Canis lupus familiaris: one gene and its partners. The protein of the gene in region 4 purifies or fractionates together with the protein of the main gene of each other region. This does not show direct contact. Links are inferred from orthologs where the notes say so. Each region holds a gene or a part of one and is shown on either strand. Other genes may lie near its edges.

Region 1 (3,976 bases), about 40 Mb from region 4:
GCTGCTTACCCAGGACACCACCCTCCCGTTGAAGCAGGGAAGGCGGGCGTTGTCATCTGAAATCTCCTCCTTCACCACCCTGCCAGGAGGGACAACACAAGAACCAGTGAGATCGCCCTAGCGCCCCCCACACGCACCCCGACTCGAGGCTTCTCATCTTCGTCCAGCTCAAGGACGATGACTTTCATGCAGCCGGCCAGGCCCTCTTCCCCAACACCGAGACACTTCACTCTCATGCCCCGGGAGTCTCCAAATTCACTCACCCCCTTTCCTTCCTCCTCCTCCTCTCCCCAGCTCATCCTCGGCTTTCAATGCTGGTCCAAAGATTTCCTATGCTGGTCCAAAGATTTCCTAGAGTCTGAGTCAAACCTCATTCTCCAATCTCAACGACCGTCCCACTCCCTCAGGTGACCCCAACTGCCCCAAAGATCTCTAACCTTTGGTGTCTCTAACAGCCCAGAATGACCCCAAACCTCCCTGAGCCCTACCCCGCTCCTCAAGGCACCGTCCCCAAACCCTCCAAAGTCTCTATTCTCATGCTTTCTTGGTTTTCTCTGAGTCATGTCCAAAGCCCTAGCCCAACATGCTACCTTTCCCCCACGAAAATATACCCATGAGACCCAAGGATGACACCTACTGGCTAGGCTGAGCACTCCCAAGGAGAGGTGAAGCCCACCTTCCCCTTCCCCCGGGGCTCATCTGGCACAAAATTCTACACTGAGCAACCTGTTCTGCCTGACGGACCTCAAAGCCCAGCCTTGGGGTCATTCCTCCCCTGGGTTCCTTGGGATGGACAGGACTTTGCCCCTTCTTCTCAACCACCACGTGGGATCACCACAGCCTATTCTTTTTTTTTCTTTTTTCTTTTTTTTTTTTTTTAATTTTTATTTATTTATGATAGTCACAGAGAGAGAGAGAGAGAGAGGCAGAGACATAGGCAGAGGGAGAAGCAGGCTCCATGCACCGGGAGCCTGATGTGGGATTCGATCCCGGGTCTCCAGGATCGCGCCCTGGGCCAAAGGCAGGCGCCAAACCGCTGCGCCACCCAGGGATCCCACCACAGCCTATTCTGTTCAACACTGCATCCTGGCCACACAGCAAAGACCCTGATGGTGGTAAAGTGAATGTTAATAAATATCTGTTCAATACTGTTAACGAGTATACTTGTTGAACAAGTATCTCATGAACAAACACGAGCTCTGAGAGACTGAGTATTGAACAGAAGGTCTCTCTCATACTCACATCCTCACCTCCAAATTAGGACAGCCTGTCTGATTAACCCTTTACCCTAATATGGTTCTAGGAGCCTGGATGCGTGACAACTTAATCCCACTTGTTATCGATAGGGCCACTCAGCCCAATCCCTACCACTGCTCTGTCTCGATATAATGCTGGATTCTTAGAGATGTAACCCAGTCCCGGCGGAGCCCAGCCCGGCAAATGATTCCACTCTCTATCACCATAACCCCGTTTACAGATTAGCTGAGCTCGACGCTAGCGATCATCACAACTCGCTAAAAAATTACTGTGCATCGCTTACCTATACGAAGTTTCTTGTGCCAACTGTGTCTATCTCCTGGGTCATATCATTGCTAACAAACAGGAATTTCGATCTAAATCAAAGGTAACTCCCAACACAGTCCCACCTTCCTCACGGCCAACGGTCTTTCTCAGTAGAAGCCAGTCCATTCAGCTATCCCAGAACATGGGCTGTCTCAGGCCAATCCAGCCTGCCTTCAAGAGCTGAGGCTGGCTACCTGGAGAACTCAGCCTCAAAAACCATAAGCAAATTTATTATTAAGAATCCAAGTCTGGCCCAGAATGACTCCAAACACTCCAGAATAGCCATATTGGGCTATTTTAGCAATGACCTACAACGTCTCCACACGCAGCCGTCCATACCAATATAGACCAGATTATCCCAATACAGCTGTCTGCACTGGCATAGCCTCAAAAACCTTGTCTGCCTCTCTACAGAGCGTCCCCATGAAACACTTGACCCCAACAGAAACTTAAGATCAACCAACACAACCCAGAAGAGACAGAAGAGCAGGAAATTCTTCCGAGAGAGCCTGGTAATCTGCTCCAAAGCAGCCTAGAACATCCCAACACACCCTTTTCTGCACCAGAACAGGCCAGATGTCCCCAAACAATCTTATCTGCTCTAGGATGGTCTAGAATGCCCTAAAGCACCCCAACACGGCCCAATCATCGGGAGATTCCACAATACTGCCCGTGGGCCGCAGGACTGCTCGAAAGGCATCGGATTACCCAGAATAACTCCCAAATAAACCAGTGTGCCCCATTCTATTCCAGGACAGCCTAATCTTTCCTGATCTGGTTCGGCACGGCCCGGTGTGTCGTCCTGGAGCTCCGTGCGTCTCGATTTGTCCAAGCGTAACCTTACCCAACCTGGGATGCCCAATCTAACCCCCGCATAATGCCCTGTCCAGCACTCCAGCCCAGAAAAACCCAGCGTGGCCTAGGGCCGACCTGTGCCCCTCAGCAGTGGCCGATCCACCGCCGCGCAGCCCCCACCGGTTCCAGCCTAGGCCTCGCGCTCACCCGAAATCCTGATCCATAGACTTGAAAAAGTACTTAGCGCCCGCGGGCCGCTGCAGGACGCTCTTGAAATCACCGAGGGTGATGCGCTCCGCCGGAACCGGGATCTTCACCAGGTAGGGAGTCTCCTCCTCATCCAGGTGGTAAATCACCTTCGTCTCCCCGACGCCGCCGCCCCCCGCGCCGCTGCCCGCCATGGTCTCGCCCGCGCGCTCCCAGGTCCCGCCGCCCACCCAACCGGGCGAAGCGCCCCCACCGCGCCTGCGCACACCCGCACCCCGCCGCGCGAGCGCGGACACGATCAGCCGGGCGCCGGAAAGGCGCGGCGGGAAGGCGGCGGGGATCAGCGGGGTGGCGGCCGACGGAAGGGAAGGGGGCGGGCCGGAGGGCTCGACCCGATGCCGCAGACTCGGCCGCCGTCGCCGCCGCCACCGCGCGCCACCGCCGCCGACGTCGCGGGCGCCCTGCAGCACCCCGCCCACCTCTCCCCATGTCACGTGGTCCGCGGCGGCCCGCCCTCCGTCACGTGACTCCACCGACCACGTGACCTACAGGCTCCGCCCAGTGCCAGCGCCACGTGATCATTGCTTTCAGCAACGGTCTCCTAGCCCTCGACGGCCCCGCCCCCAAATGTGTCCCCACCCGCGTCCTCCGAGCACCCCGGCGGAGGCCGGCACTGGCCTTCGGGGGGCCTGGCCACCGGTACCCATCCCGTTTGGCCCCACTCGGGCGGAGAGCTCCAAACAACGCTGATTCCCTGGAGCGTGCGTGTTGGGAGATAGGATGGGGGTCCTGGGCTGGGGTGCCCGGTGGAAGCAAGCCGACTGAGGGCCAGGCTGGGGGCGGGGGTCTGGGGAGCTGGGGGGTGGGGGCGCGCAGAGCCGGGTGGTTTTCTGCTCTGGAGGTGGGCTTCAGCCCCCCGCGCCTTCTGCTTTTCCACCGCGCCCCCACCCAAGCAGGACAGTCAGGGAGGGCTATAAACACAAAAGAGCCCACTCTGCTTTATTTACAACACGCAGGCTGTCTGTACAAACAGCTGGCCAATATTATTAAAAACAAAAGAGGTGAGCGAACATATCGTCACCTGTTTTCCTTCCTCCCTTGGCCAGACCCTGGTTGGTACTCCACCTCCGAGCTGCCCTGCCCAAAAGGGGAAGTCCAAAATTAAAAATACAACCGGTGTAGAATAAATGGGGAGATAAAAGAAAAGATGAAGAAGGGGAGTGCTCTATTTACACTAGAGTTTTATAGCCAGCTGTCCCATTCCACCCCAATTCCAACCCTGGCCCAGAAAGCGAAGGGTGGCAGGTCTAAGGAACAGAAATTATGTGTCTAGGGACCAGCCTCTCACCCCCAACTGCAGCAGGTCCATATTCAAGTCCACAAGGCGGGAAGGAAAGATAAGGTTGGAACG
Region 2 (3,518 bases), on a different chromosome or scaffold from region 4:
AAGAAAAAGCAACTTTCTTGTGCCACCTCTTTCCTGGTGGGGAAAAAGAAAATGCAAAGTTATGGGTAATGCTTGTTCAGCAATAGCCATTAGCTTATCTAAGTACTAGCCTTTGCAGCATAAAAATACTATCAGCAATTTTCAAGGTATGTATTATTATTTAGCTGGGACTCTAGATAAAGTGGGTCCCATCTCCCCAGGCACTGTTTAGCTGGTGAGATCACAAAAATTAAAGCACCAAGCTTTCCTTGATTTTCTTGCCAAATGACTGTCTTCTTAAGTATTAAAATTCACAAAAGCAAGGTAAAACTCTATTAGGCAAAATATTTTCCTGATTTTTTTCATTGTTTCATCAGAGTATCTAAACAAAGTATTTTAAATTACCTCTGATGCTAGTTATGAGATCAAATTATATAATGCATGCATGTTTTTAAAGTTCCTTCCATAGATGACTCCTGAATGATGTTTGATCCAATAAAGCTATAAGGTTTGTTTCCCTTTTCCAGGAGTTCAATTTTTATTCTTGTTCTGGGAAGTCTGTGTGTGTCATTTCATGTATCATTAGTATCACCTGCATTTTTTCTCTCTTAACAAAGCTCAACTATATGCATTCACTTACAAAAAAAAATGCTAATGAGAAAATAGGTATTTCTGGAACTATTGGAATCAAAAAAGGTTAACTTCGCCGGGAGGTATCAGTATCTTTCTAACTAAATATTGAGTAAATAGAACTATGCTTAGAGAAAAGGGCATGCTGACCTGAACTGGAAAGCACATTTTTTATTTCTTCCTTACTGTCAGAATGTATCACACATGTCATGAATATAAATCTGAGTGGATCTGGGTCCAAAGTCTCTTATTAATAAGATGCTTATTCACCTTCACCAGTTTGTTTCTTTGCTAACCCTGTGTAAATCAAAAGGGGAAAACCCCAGATTACACAAGAAAGATTGCTGAATGTTAATCTCACTTAAATTAAGTAGGAAACTCCAGAGACTTCTCTAATTCTATTTAAATTAAGAGCCTAGGCTGCCAAAACACATTTATAATACATATGTGTCTGGGGCATAGAAAGGAGGAAGAAAAGAGCATTTGATGTAAACAAATGATCAAATCGAAAAAAGTAAGCATTCATAATCTTTTTCACTGTAGATTCACGTCTTTCCATTTCCCATTCTGCTCTGCTAATTTCCTGTTGACTAAAATTGGTAAACCTATTTCCATTTAATTCATTTTTTTAAACTATCAGTTTCAAGCTTTCTCCCTTTGTATTTAAACCATTTGTTTAGACTGCTATTTTCCTATAAAGATGACTAACATTATTGTGACTAATTACATCTCTTTATGAAAGACAATTTGATTGTCATGGAAATGATAAGATTCAAAGTGAAATGAATCAGAAGAGGAAGAGTCATAAAATTTTGACTTTATAACGTGGAAGCACGCATATTGCTTCCTATTAACAATAAGCACACAAACACAGGTGTTTACATGATCTTTTTTCATAATTATTTTGAACTTTCATATTTTTCAATATCAAAAAACATTATGCAGGTAGATTAATCCATACTATTACTTTACTAAGCATGATGATGGTGATGATAAAATTATTTTGCAATCTTACATTTGACCATGACCATGTAAACGTCAATAGTGCAGATAGGAGGCTGCGGCAAACGTTCTCCTTTCTCTAATAAATCAGGGATTTCTCGGGTTGGAATTCCATCGTAGGGTTTTCCTCCAAATGTCATCAGTTCCCATATAGTGACTCCTAAATTGGAGATCAAATATTTACATAAGCATATTAACAACACTCTTCGAAGAAACCAGCTGTATGCCAGTGACAAAAGAAAGCTCCTTAGAAAGGCAGTCAAAAATAGTCTAAAGAGGGAGGGCGCTTGGGTGACACAATCCATTAAGCATTCAGACTCTTGGCTTTGGCTGAGGTTGTCATCTCAGGATGGTGGGATTGAGCCCCGCATCAGGATCTGTGCTCACTCAATGTGGCATCTGCTTAAGACTCTGCCCTCCTCCTCTACTCTCTCTCTCAAATACATAAATAAATTTAAAAAAATAGTCTAAAGAAAGGCTCTTCAGATTTCTATGTCCATTAGAAGAAGCCCAATGACAAAATCTTTATGGGAAATTCTACTATCATATTATTGTCTTGAAATTTTTAATGAAGGCAGCCCGGGTGGCTCAGCGGTTTAGCATTACCTTTGGCCCAGGGTGTGATCCTGGAGACCGGGGATCAAATCCCATGTCCGGCTCCCTGCATGGAGCCTGCTTCTCCCTCTCCCTGTGTCTCTGCCTCTCTCTCTCATGAATAAATAAAATGCTTAAAAATATAATGATTCTAATTTGAACAAGAAAATATACCCTATACTCCTCTTTATGATCTCATAATTATACAATTAAAAAGTCACCATTTCTTAAGGGTAGGCTTGTACATTCAGAAATAGCTGTGTGTAAGAGTTTTACCAATGAATTTTGATTGGTTCACATAGCATACAAAGCATATTTTTATGTAAAATCCATTAATTAGGACTATGTTTTTTTTACTTCCATCTGTAATAATTATTTATTCAAACTGAAGTCTTTTTTTAGCTCATAATACTTATCATTGACTACTAATAAAAATACAAAGCTTAAAATATAAAAGTATATGTGATCTTCAAATTATACTTTATAATATCCTTATTACCTAATTATTGCCATGGTTACCTGATTTTGCTTATTATTTTTTAAATCTTATGAGTTTTAAATATAATGTAAAAATGTAACTAGTGACACAATTTAAGTGTTTGATCTTGTTTAAATCCTACTTAATTTTGCACATTAAGGAATGGCTCTGTAGAACCAATAATTAAAATTCAGTGTCCATGAGACAGGCTGGAACAAGTTAAGAAGTGGATGGCTGTCCATCTATATTCAGTCAGTCAATATAAATACATATTTACAGAACATGTATTTGATGAGGATATTTTGTTAACTTATATATGCAGTTATAAAAGAATAGACACTCACATCTCTATCAGAACTTCCAATATAAACAAAATGCAATCCAATTACAAATCAAAATGATGGAAAATATAATAAACACATAAATACAAAAACAAAAGCAGGAACAGCAAAACCCCCACCTCTGCCAAGAGCAATCCAACTCTATCCTTGCAGGAATGAACGCAAGATAGGGTTAAACAGAGATGGCTTCATGCAGAGGGACAATCTCAGAAAAACTGAACCAGAAACATCCTCAAAACTTACAATTCTGTCATTTGAACCTATAAACCATAGCTAATACATATTTATTTTTATAAAAATAAAGATGCATCCAGTGGCAATTTGCCACAAAGGTGCATTTTAAATATTGTGTTTCTCTTTGCCTTGTATACCTTTTGCAATCAACTATGATATATCATAAAAATCTTAAAATGCCTTATAGATATGGGTTGATGACCTGGGCTATGTTTCAAAGCAGAGTATTTATCTATCTATCTATCTATCTATCTATCTAT
Region 3 (3,134 bases), on a different chromosome or scaffold from region 4:
CACAGTAAAACGTCTCGGAGTCCAAAGAGCTGTGTCAAGATGTCCTATCCAGGCTCCAGACAGGGTAACCCAGCCTCTGAGATACAGGCCACAGTGACAAGCTAATGACAAGCTTCCTTCCCAATTCCCAGCCTCGGTCGGCCCGGGGCCCAGAGACTTAGCTTAGTAACAAAAAGTAAACAAACTCAAATGAACAAACTAAAACCCACAGGTTTCCAATATATGTTTTCACCCCGCACTTTCAGAGCCGGGATACCTTGAGATGCCACCTGTAGCATCCGCTGTCCAAACTCGATGGCGCCCCCTGCCGTAAAGGTCAACTTGTATGACGCAGCGCCTTCCCAGCCACCTGGGAGGGGAACAGGGCATTACTGGCTCAGGAAAAAACACAGATTACAGCTGAAGAGATGGCTCTGTTCCCTACAGGTCTCCTTCCAGTGCCCGTGGGGAGAGGGCTGGCTCTGCAGTGCCTGCCTTCCCGCCAGGCTGCTTCTGGTGCGCTGCCCACACAGCATGTGCCCGCTGCAGGCTGGCCTGTCTTCTGCTCCTGCCTGCTTCACTCTCTCGAACAGGGGGCTTTTCTTTCTTGGAACTTGTTATCCCACCCCCAGCTGTATAAGTTCCTCAGCGAGAGCCTCCCACTCATCAATGAGGCAGCTTCCCCAGAGCAGGTTTCCTCAGCAACAAGTGACATTCAAGTTCAGAGCATCTCTCTCCTCCTGAGGGGCCTAAGGATGGGCCCCCCGCTCCTCCAGCCTGGCTTCTGCCAAAGGGGAACCATGAGTCTCTAGAGAGCAAGGCCACCTGGCTGGGTGGAAGGGGGAGGCCAAGTTTAACACAGAGGTCTCTGGTGTCTGCAGAAGAGCCTGCTGCCAAGCAGGGCCTCTCCAGGAGGCAGAGGGGCCGCTGGCTCTTCCTGGCTCTAGAAAAGACCATTCCTGAGGGACGCCTGGGTGGCTCAGTGGTTGAGCGTCTGCCTTTGGCTCGGCGTGATCCCAGGGTCCCAGGATCGGGTCCGACATTGGTTTCCCCACACAGGGCCTGCTTCTCCCTCTGCCTGTGTCTCTGCCTCTCTCTCTGTATCTCTCGTGAATAAATAAATCAAATCCTTTTTTTTTTTTTTTTAAAGATTTCATCTATTCATGAGAGACACAGAAAGAGAGAGAGGGAGAGGCAGAGACACAGGCAGAGGGAGAAACAGGCTCCATGCAGGGAGCCCGACGTGGGACTCGATCCCGGGGCTCCAGGATCACGTCCTGACCCAAAGACAAAACGCTCAACCGCTGAGCCACCCAGGCATCCCAAATAAATAAAATCTTAAAAAAAAAAAAAAAAAAAAGACCATTTCTGAGAGTCTGACACGTCGTTTCCCATACCTAGAATGTGAACATGCTCCCCGGTTACGGTAAGCATTTATTTTTCAGTCATTTGGCTGATTTCACTCTGAAAAGGTGACATGAGCTGCTTTTAATGTCAGGATTTCTTAGCTCTTGTCATTCAAAAACCCACCCCTGCTGACCAGCTCGCAGCCCAGGGTTGGGTCCTGGAAGCCAATCCAGAGCCAGGAGGAAGAGGATATCTCCGAGACAGTAGAGGTGTGCCCCAGCACCTCCCTGAGAGCCCATCTGTGGCCCTGAGCCCCCTTCACCCACCTCCTGCTTCAGCTTTCACTGTTCCCTTGATGTAGTTTGCACCAAACACAGGCTGCTTGATCTCACAGTCCTTCATCAGATAAAATGGCATCATGAAAGACTGCATGGCATCCTTTCCTTTGGACAGAAAGATAACCTGCACGGAGACAGGAAGAGAGCCTTCAGTGGCCACACCACGGCCAGCCCGCTCAATTATCACTTCCCAGCAGCCCTAGGGCACACTCTGCACCAGACACTTCCGGAGAGAGCTCTGTAAGTGAGAGGGCCTACGTGCGGCCTGGCTGGAGAGGCTGAACGTGGGTGTTCACGAGACAAACACACCACTCACAGGTCACATGAGAGGGACAGGCTGCTCTGCCGTTTAAGTGGTGGCTGTGGTACGCAAGTGAGGGGAGCTGTAAAGCTAGGGCAGGGGGGCAGGGTAGGGCAGTGCTGACTTCCAGAAGGGGGCTGGGAGGCATAGCCTGAGCTTCACAGAACAGAGTGAAGGAGAGGTAGGGGGTGTTGGGTCCCAGGAGAAGGGGGCTGCCCAAACTGCAAGTCTCCCAGCCTGCACTTGGAAAACTACGTTTTAAACCCTTCAATCTGTGACTGAAGATGCCACCAGAAAAGGGGTTTTGAGGCTCCCTTGTCTCTAAGTTGCGGTGATGAAAACCTTAAAGATATGCCGCTCTCTTCCAACCATCTTTAAATCTAACTCTTGGGACGCCTGGGTGGCTCAGTGGTGGAGCGTCTGCCTTCGGCTCAGGGTGTGATCCCGGGGTCCTGGGATCGAGTCCCATATCGGGCTCCCCGCAGGGAGCCTGCTTCTCCCTCTGCCTTTTTGTCTCTCACGAATAAATACATAAAATCTTAAAAAAAAAAAAAATCTAACTTTTGGTAGCTACAAGCAGTGAACCTTTTCTAAGAATGGCCATTTGTCTTTCTCTGGAAGACTCTCAGTCGGCCTGGCTCAGTCTCAGGCAAGGCCCATCCTGCAGTTGGGCACTTCTCGCTCTGCAGGGCTGTGCTGGGCTTTCCGCCCAGACTGGAGGCTCCGGCCATGCTACTATGTCCTGTTTTCCGTACTTGTCACTCTGGATGTGTACAAAGGCCTTGTGGGCCCTTTCTGCTCTCACAGAAATCAAGGTACAACAGCCCCCTGCTGCCCCAGGCCCCAGTCACCCCAGCTGCTGCACACAACAACATAGATTTTACAGTAGTGGTTCCAGAATTTTCATGGATTCAATGCCCAGGGGTTGGTTCAGCTGCCCACAGAGTCTGCTGATTCTAGAACCTGGGAGCACATGACAGAAACATGGGGAGGGCTGGCCACAGGTTCAGGGGCCACTGGACCCATAAGGCTGAGGCTGACATAAGACTCACATCGGCCTCCAGGAACCATGGGCTTGCAAACCCACCATCACTGTGCAACTCACCCGGTAAGGAGTAAGGTAGACGGTGCCTTTCTTGGTCCCTTTGAAGGCCTCGGGCACGTTCTTC
Region 4 (2,549 bases):
CACAATCCTACCACCTGGTATTTCCTGGCATTTCAGCAAAAGCATTCTATCAGGCCAAGGTCGACTTCCTTACATCCCTGATGGAATGGGAAAAGGGGTTAGCTGGAAAGAGACCCCAGTTGCCCCCATTCTGATGCATAGAGAGACTGTCTAGTCTCCAAGAACTTGATAATTACAGGGGGAGAAAACCACTGAGGCCCGTAAGAACCCACTAGAAGTAATAACAAAACCTCTTAAGGTGAAATTAAACGATAGTCATTTTTTTCTCTTTCTCTCTTTCTCTAACAGAAAATATGATGCTGGCATGCTAATCGCGAGAGACAACTTGGCCCACGGACAGCCACAAAGCACAAAAACAAAACAAACTCCGAGAAGAAACAAGAGCGGTGTTTTCCTGGCATCTACAAGAAGCGCTTTATTTTTCCTCTAGATTTCTTTTCTAAAAAAACAAAACAAAACAAAAAACAAAACTGAGACAAACATTTAAAGAGACAGTGCACAACTTCAGGTGATCATATTCAAGCATGTTCTTTTATTAAGCGTTGGACGGGAGGAGAGGAAGTGGAAGCGGAACGCTCGAGCAGGATGACGGGGAGGCACTGAGCCTCCACGGTCGGGATGCTTCTGGAAACTGTAAATGTAGAGTGAACGGAACAACTTTTTATCCTCTGCCCCCCAAATATCCTGTATATGCTCATGGATGCAATGCTTCCTTTCTTGCCTGCCAAGGTATCTAGGGAATGATTTGCAAAATTCGTTTGTTATCCTCTCTGAAGAATTTTTTTTGTGCAGCTTTGGCGAGGGGGTCGGTGGGCCAACCCTCTGGCGACCCACCCGCTCTGTGTATCCCACCCATTTCTAAGTGTCACCTCCCTCTTGGCTGGCTGGATCAGGGGTCTGAGAGCTCTCTCCCCTGGTCACTGCCATGCCCACTCAGACTTGGTCAGGGTGAATGACAGGATGAACACTCGCCTCTTCTTCCCTGCACAGACGAAGGCCAGCTCCTGGCTACAGTGAGGCCACGGCAGGCTGTGCTTGTGGGGGTGGCCGGGGGAGGGGGGGGGACACCTGGCTTTTTGAAACAGTGCTGCAGAATTGCTTGGGCTTCCCCTGTGAGACAAGGAACCTGCACACCACCTAAACAGGCCACCGACAGGAAAGCAAAGAGACTTGCCAGCCTCACCCAGCCCCAGAGAAGAGAGATTGTCCCCTTGGCCCTGCAATTCCCTGCTTCCCGTGGGTACTTGACATTTTTTCACTATGTTGTGACTACTCTTATTTCCTTTGCTCTGGCGGATCTGAGTCGAGGGGGGTGGGGGGGGACAGGGGGACGTGGAAAGCCCCCGGATAAGTGGTTGGCGGGGGGCCAGCGTTGGCAGCGGGGTGGGTGTGCGCGGATGCTCACCGGAGCTCCCCTTAGCCCGACTGGCCGCCAAGCCCTTCCTGGATCAGCCTCTCGCTGAGCGCCCACAGGGCCCGGGCCGTCTCTTCGCTCTGAGCCTCGGCGGACGGCATGCAGCGGCAGCAGTTGTTGAAGTACATCCCTCCCAGGCCCTCAAGCTCCGGAGCCGCAGCACAGTAGACGGTCGTGGCAGCTCCTTGTTGCTGGAAATCAAAGAAAAGAGACCCAAAAACAATTTTTTTTTTTCTTTTTAAAAGAAGTGATGAGCTGACTTCATCCTGTCTGGGGATTAGCAGACCCTGCCCCGCCTGGCCCGGAGACACCTGGATCTCGGCTCGGCAGAGGGTACCGAGCCCAGCAGGTGACCATACAAGGTGTGATGTGACCATCCTGTGAAAGCAAGTTCATCAACTTGGCTGCAACTTTTTACACCTTGTAGAGGTAAAGGCTTTGAAAATAAATACGCAGTATCAGTCACATCAAAAGTCTCTTCTGAGCAAGACGGCATCCTTTTGAACACACAAGAACAAATTCATCCAAACCGCTGACTTCTCAATGCATGATATAATCTGACACCAAGACGTTTCTAGAACCTTCTGTCTGAATTAAACCAACCACTCTGATGATGGCCCATCAGATAGAAAACCCAGAGAGGGACTGGTGCCAGACCTTTCCTTTCTTTTGTTGCCCACAGTGCTGCTAGGGGACGAGTCTGCAGTGCTGTGTGACACTGTGCTGTGTTAAGACACACATATACATGTACTCCATGCCATGTACATACATGCCTCATGCAGACACCGGATACGCGTGTTAATTCATCCAGATCCTGTGCAAACCTGTTTGTAAATGTCGTAGTCACCCTGTATTTGCAATGGGACAGTGACTAAGGGGGTACATTTCCTCCCAGCCCACTTCAAATTGTAAGTTGCAAAGAGTGCGATTGATTACTTTCGATTCACCTTTTGAGTAACAGTTGGTGCTGTGGCTAGGGATGTGTGTGCCGGTGGGGCACCATATCATCCCGCTGACACAATGCTGTCAGGGATGCCGTAAAGAGGGCAAGAAATCACTTTGCTTTGCAAGCCATAATTAAAAATAATAGGCTGGTGTTCATGGGGAGACATGGTAGGCACGCCTCTAATTTAAA
Region 5 (3,986 bases), on a different chromosome or scaffold from region 4:
TGATGGGTGCCTGCCATGCAGGCAGGTATTAGGAGCCCCCCATTTCATTTTCCTAAGTGTCACAGTTGAACAGTACAGTATATGGTTCCCCTAAGGAAGTGGAGGGAGTTCCTAGAACATATTTTGCTAGTTTACCTGTTTCATGGAACACATATCTCTCTAAGCCCACCTCTGGTTTCAGGACATACTATGTGCAAATTCTTCCCATGTCTAAAGCCAGCAGTGCAGCATGGTGAGGTGGAGCCCGACTACCTGGGTTTATGTCCCAAGTCCTTCACATTTAACAGCAGTGAGACTGTGGACAAGTTCTTTATAACATCTTCCATTTGAAATAAAAATGAGAATAAAAGTAATGGCTGAGCTACTATTTGTAATCAGTTAATATTTGTAAAGTGCTTAGAACAGTGCTTGACACAGGGTAAGCACTCTATAAATGTCTGATAAGTAAAAAACAAATATGCAGTCTTTGTGTCTCCTAGGTAAGTGAATTTCTATAAAGAGATGGTGAGATGGGAGGAAAGCCCTTCTCAGAACAGTTTCTAGTTTCCCCCTCTACTCAGAGGCCTCTTGCCGGAATAAATAAAACCTCTCTGCCCGGTCCTGGGTGCTGGCTGGGAAGAGAGTGCTGCGGGGCTGGAACAGAATAACCGCTGCCAGCTAGTATATAATCAACCACACTACAACTACAATTGAACCGGGGCAAGCAGAACAAAGAAACAGAGGCAACTATCCCGGGTTGCAGGTGGCCGTCAGAGGCCACCGAAGGGCCCCATCAATAGTTTTATGTGCTTAACGTAAAGAGAACCCTTTGCCTCCTCACATACTTGGCCACTGTGATTGCCCACTTATGTATGTGATTCAGGACTTCAATAGCATCAAAGATGCTCTGACAACAGCCAATTTTAGATGAAAACATCTCAGCATCTATTTCACGGATAAAATCCCATGTGATGAAATACAAAAAAAAAAAAAATCTCCTTAATTCCTCAGACACCTCTCCACCAGAAACAAAATAGGTGCTTAGGACAATCTTGTAAAAGTGAGCTACACCACACGATCCCATTAAAGACAAAAATTACCAGTTATCTAGCTATTTGACTTGTGAAAGCACCAGCCCAGTCATTTCAGTTTCCCTGCTGTCACAGTTGTGCCTTTGAGATCGTGTCAACTTTCCAGACATGATCTGAACACCCTATTAAGATGATAAATTCCTATGCAACAAAACAGCTTCGTTGGAAAGAACTGGGTCCCTGAAGCAGTCTTGACTACATAACAGGGCACAGCACCACATACACTGAAGACCTAGAGGAAGCCAGGCAGTGGGATATAAAATTTTATCAAGAGCTGATTTTAAAAGGGGATTGGGAGGGGGCCTTGCATTCATAAGTACAGATGCATTGGGTTTTAGGTAAACAGTTGTCTCAGACTCACTTCTCCATAGCTCTGTCTGGTGCGTCACGGCCGGGATGTGATCTCTAAGGTCTTAAAATTCTGACCAAATGCAAAGAATGCAAGCGAAGAGGCACCCCGCAAAAAAACATATATCAAGCCAGAGGGATATTAAGAACAAAATAAACAAAAATAAAAAGTCAGCCTGGCGCAAGAAGCTTTTCCATCAACCTCCCTTCCTAGTGCCAAGAACAAGCTCCCTCCCAACATTCCCTGATAATTATTTTTTAATCAGCTAAGAAAGCCAAGTCACTTCCAGCACAGACACCCAATATTAAAGAGTTCTCCAACCCTCTGGAATGGAAAAGACAGAAAGGGGCGTCAGCGTTCACCACCCATTTAACTCCGATGTCATTGATTTAAGGCAAATTTCCTCCAAAACAATGCAGCTGAGCAGGGAGTTGCGTGAACCCTAATCCAGACTCCACACCCCAGAGGATCCTATCAGCTCACATTGCAAAGAACCTGCTTGAGCAAAGACGGGGAGCCCCCCCCCACCTCGGGGGCGCGACCTTCCAGGCCCGGGGCGCGCGGGGTGGGCGGGGGCGAGGGCACGAGGGGCGCTCCCACCCTCCCCCGCGGCGAGTCCCCCCCCAGGCTCCAGCGAACCGCGCCCAGCACCCAAGTCTCCGAGGGATTTCTCGCCGGGACCTGAAGCCCGCGCTCCACCTGACCCCACGTCCCGGGGCGGCGGCGGCCCAGGGCCCGGGGCGCGGCGCCCGCGGGGTCGCACCTGCACCGCCGGCCGCCGAGCCGCCCCACCCCGCAGCCTCCAGCCTCCAGCCCCGCCCGCGCCTGCACCGCCCCCGGCCCCCGGCCCCCGGCCCCCGGGCACCACCCCGCGGGCACCACCCCGCGCTCCTCGGCGGCGCTCGCGGTGCGAGGCTCAAAGGCCACACCTGGGTCTCCCCGGCCGCCGCGAGCAGCCCCGCAGCGCGGGGGAAGGGCCGTGGGGGAGACGGGCAGGGGCGCGGGCGGGGAGGCCCGGGAGCCGGGGCAGGCCGGAGGGGCCGTCGGGCGCCCGCACACGCAGGTCCGCGAGGCCGCCCGCCGCCGCCCGCCGCCGCCCGCCTCTCGGGTCCGCACAGGTGGTCCTCGGGGCGTCCGCGCCCCGCACCCGCGCAGCCCGGCATTGTTCGCGCTCGGCGGCGCAGCTGCGAGGCGCCCGGGGCGGCGCGGCCCGGCCTCGGCCCCTACCTCCACGAGCAGCCCGAGCAGCAGCGCCGCCACCCTCCGGGGCAGGCGGCCCATGGCTCCGGGTCCTCTCCGGGGTGCGCTGCTGTCGGGGCGCGGGCGCAGGTCAGCAGCGCGGGCCCGAGCGGTGAGCGCCACAGCGGAGCAGCGGCGGGGCTCAGGCCGCGGACGGCGGGGCTGCGGGGCGCGGGGCGGCGGGCGGGCGGGTGGGCGCGGAGCCTGGTGGCGCCGTGCAGCCCTCGCCGCGCAGCCCCGGCCGCGCCCCGCCCCCCCCCCGGCCCCGCCCCGCCCCGCCCCGCCCCCCGCGCTCCGGGCTCCGGGCTCCACCCCCGCGCGCTCCCGGCTCCGCCCTCGCCCCGCCCCCGCGCCCCGCCCCCGGCCCCGCCCCGCCCTCCTGGGCGCGCGCCCGCGGGCACCGGCTCCCAGCCCGCGCCGCCCTCCCGAGCCGAGCCGGGGGCCCCGAGGCCCGGCGAGCCGGGGACGAGCTGGCGGGTGGCTCGGGCCCCGGCGGAGCCCGCCCTGTCACCTTTGAATAGACCCGGCAAGATCGCTGAAGGAGGCGAAGTCTTCGCGTGGGGGAGCCCGTTTGGGGGGCGCTGTCGGTGGACCCGCAGCATCCCCGGCCTCCGTGCGTCGCTCTCCCGCCGATTCCCACCAACCGCGGGCGCCCCGGGGACGGCCTGGGGCGAGGGCGACAGGCCGTGACTAAAGGGCTCCTTGCACCGCGCCCCCGGTGTAGATGCCGGTGCTTCGAGCTCTGCGTCCTCCTCCCGGCCCGGCCTACACCCCGCCACAGGTGGCCCCACGGTGGCCGGGTCTGGGATGTCCTCGGGCTCTGCTGCAGCCCCTCCCCACCTCCACTACCTCCCACCCACCACCCACCGTATTGTTTTCACCGCGTGAGTCAGATCCCAAGTCCTCGGGGCAGTCATTCAACAAGCATTCGTGTGAACCTGTGAGATGGACAGACCCCGAGCTGGAGGGCCAGGTACGGAGGTGGGCAAGAAAACTTAATTCATGACGTTTAAAGGGATCGTCGCTTGCAGGGCGCTGAGCGGCGGGACCCAGGCTCAAGGGTGACCGAGGAGCAGAAAGGACGGGAGCCTCCCCGTGACTGGACGTAGAGGAGGGAGTCATGGAAACACACAGCACCTAAGACTAGTCCCTGACGCTTTCTGGTCTTCGTCACGTGTACTCATCTGATGACTTTAACATATGCAGCACTGGACTGTCCCTGTTAGAACCAAAACTTGCAAGACGAGCAGGAAAGATGACTGTGGGCTTTATCGTCACGGTAAGGGCACCCATCAGACAGGCCCACCAAGAGTCTTTGGACTCTCCTC

Evidence for each region.
Region 1: the proteins of WWOX (region 4) and DVL2 purify together in Homo sapiens (affinity purification with mass spectrometry; 4 studies listed by BioGRID and IntAct, counting the BioPlex papers as one, with this or other methods). This does not show direct contact. The link is inferred for Canis lupus familiaris from reciprocal best matches to the Homo sapiens genes WWOX and DVL2.
Region 2: the proteins of WWOX (region 4) and ERBB4 purify together in Homo sapiens (affinity purification with western blotting; 4 studies listed by BioGRID). This does not show direct contact. The link is inferred for Canis lupus familiaris from reciprocal best matches to the Homo sapiens genes WWOX and ERBB4.
Region 3: the proteins of WWOX (region 4) and WBP2 purify together in Homo sapiens (affinity purification with mass spectrometry; 3 studies listed by BioGRID and IntAct, with this or other methods). This does not show direct contact. The link is inferred for Canis lupus familiaris from reciprocal best matches to the Homo sapiens genes WWOX and WBP2.
Region 5: the proteins of WWOX (region 4) and VOPP1 purify together in Homo sapiens (affinity purification with mass spectrometry; 3 studies listed by BioGRID and IntAct, with this or other methods). This does not show direct contact. The link is inferred for Canis lupus familiaris from reciprocal best matches to the Homo sapiens genes WWOX and VOPP1.

What each region holds. Positions count from the first base shown.
Region 1 is NC_049226.1:32,405,990-32,409,965, forward strand, and holds the start of DVL2 (segment polarity protein dishevelled homolog DVL-2), read right to left. Parts: upstream 2,803-3,976; 5' UTR 2,760-2,802; coding exon 2,566-2,759; intron 2,478-2,565; exon of another isoform or gene 1,541-2,477; intron 865-1,540; exon of another isoform or gene 264-864; intron 80-263; coding exon 10-79; intron 1-9.
Region 2 is NC_049258.1:18,935,753-18,939,270, forward strand, and holds part of ERBB4 (receptor tyrosine-protein kinase erbB-4), read right to left. Parts: intron 1,772-3,518; coding exon 1,625-1,771; intron 1-1,624. UniProt on the Homo sapiens protein: Tyrosine-protein kinase that plays an essential role as cell surface receptor for neuregulins and EGF family members and regulates development of the heart, the central nervous system and the mammary gland, gene transcription, cell proliferation, differentiation, migration and apoptosis.
Region 3 is NC_049230.1:5,627,228-5,630,361, reverse strand, and holds part of WBP2 (WW domain-binding protein 2), read right to left. Parts: coding exon 3,071-3,134; intron 1,789-3,070; coding exon 1,653-1,788; intron 350-1,652; coding exon 257-349; intron 1-256. UniProt on the Homo sapiens protein: Acts as a transcriptional coactivator of estrogen and progesterone receptors (ESR1 and PGR) upon hormone activation. In presence of estrogen, binds to ESR1-responsive promoters. Synergizes with YAP1 to enhance PGR activity.
Region 4 is NC_049226.1:72,857,118-72,859,666, forward strand, and holds the end of WWOX (WW domain-containing oxidoreductase), read right to left. Parts: intron 1,606-2,549; coding exon 1,417-1,605; 3' UTR 1,406-1,416; exon of another isoform or gene 632-1,405; 3' UTR 504-631; downstream 1-503. UniProt on the Homo sapiens protein: Putative oxidoreductase. Acts as a tumor suppressor and plays a role in apoptosis. Required for normal bone development. May function synergistically with p53/TP53 to control genotoxic stress-induced cell death.
Region 5 is NC_049239.1:6,497,048-6,501,033, forward strand, and holds the start of VOPP1 (vesicular, overexpressed in cancer, prosurvival protein 1), read right to left. Parts: upstream 2,815-3,986; 5' UTR 2,701-2,814; coding exon 2,647-2,700; intron 1-2,646. UniProt on the Homo sapiens protein: Increases the transcriptional activity of NFKB1 by facilitating its nuclear translocation, DNA-binding and associated apoptotic response, when overexpressed. May sequester WWOX in lysosomal vesicles and thereby regulate WWOX role as tumor suppressor.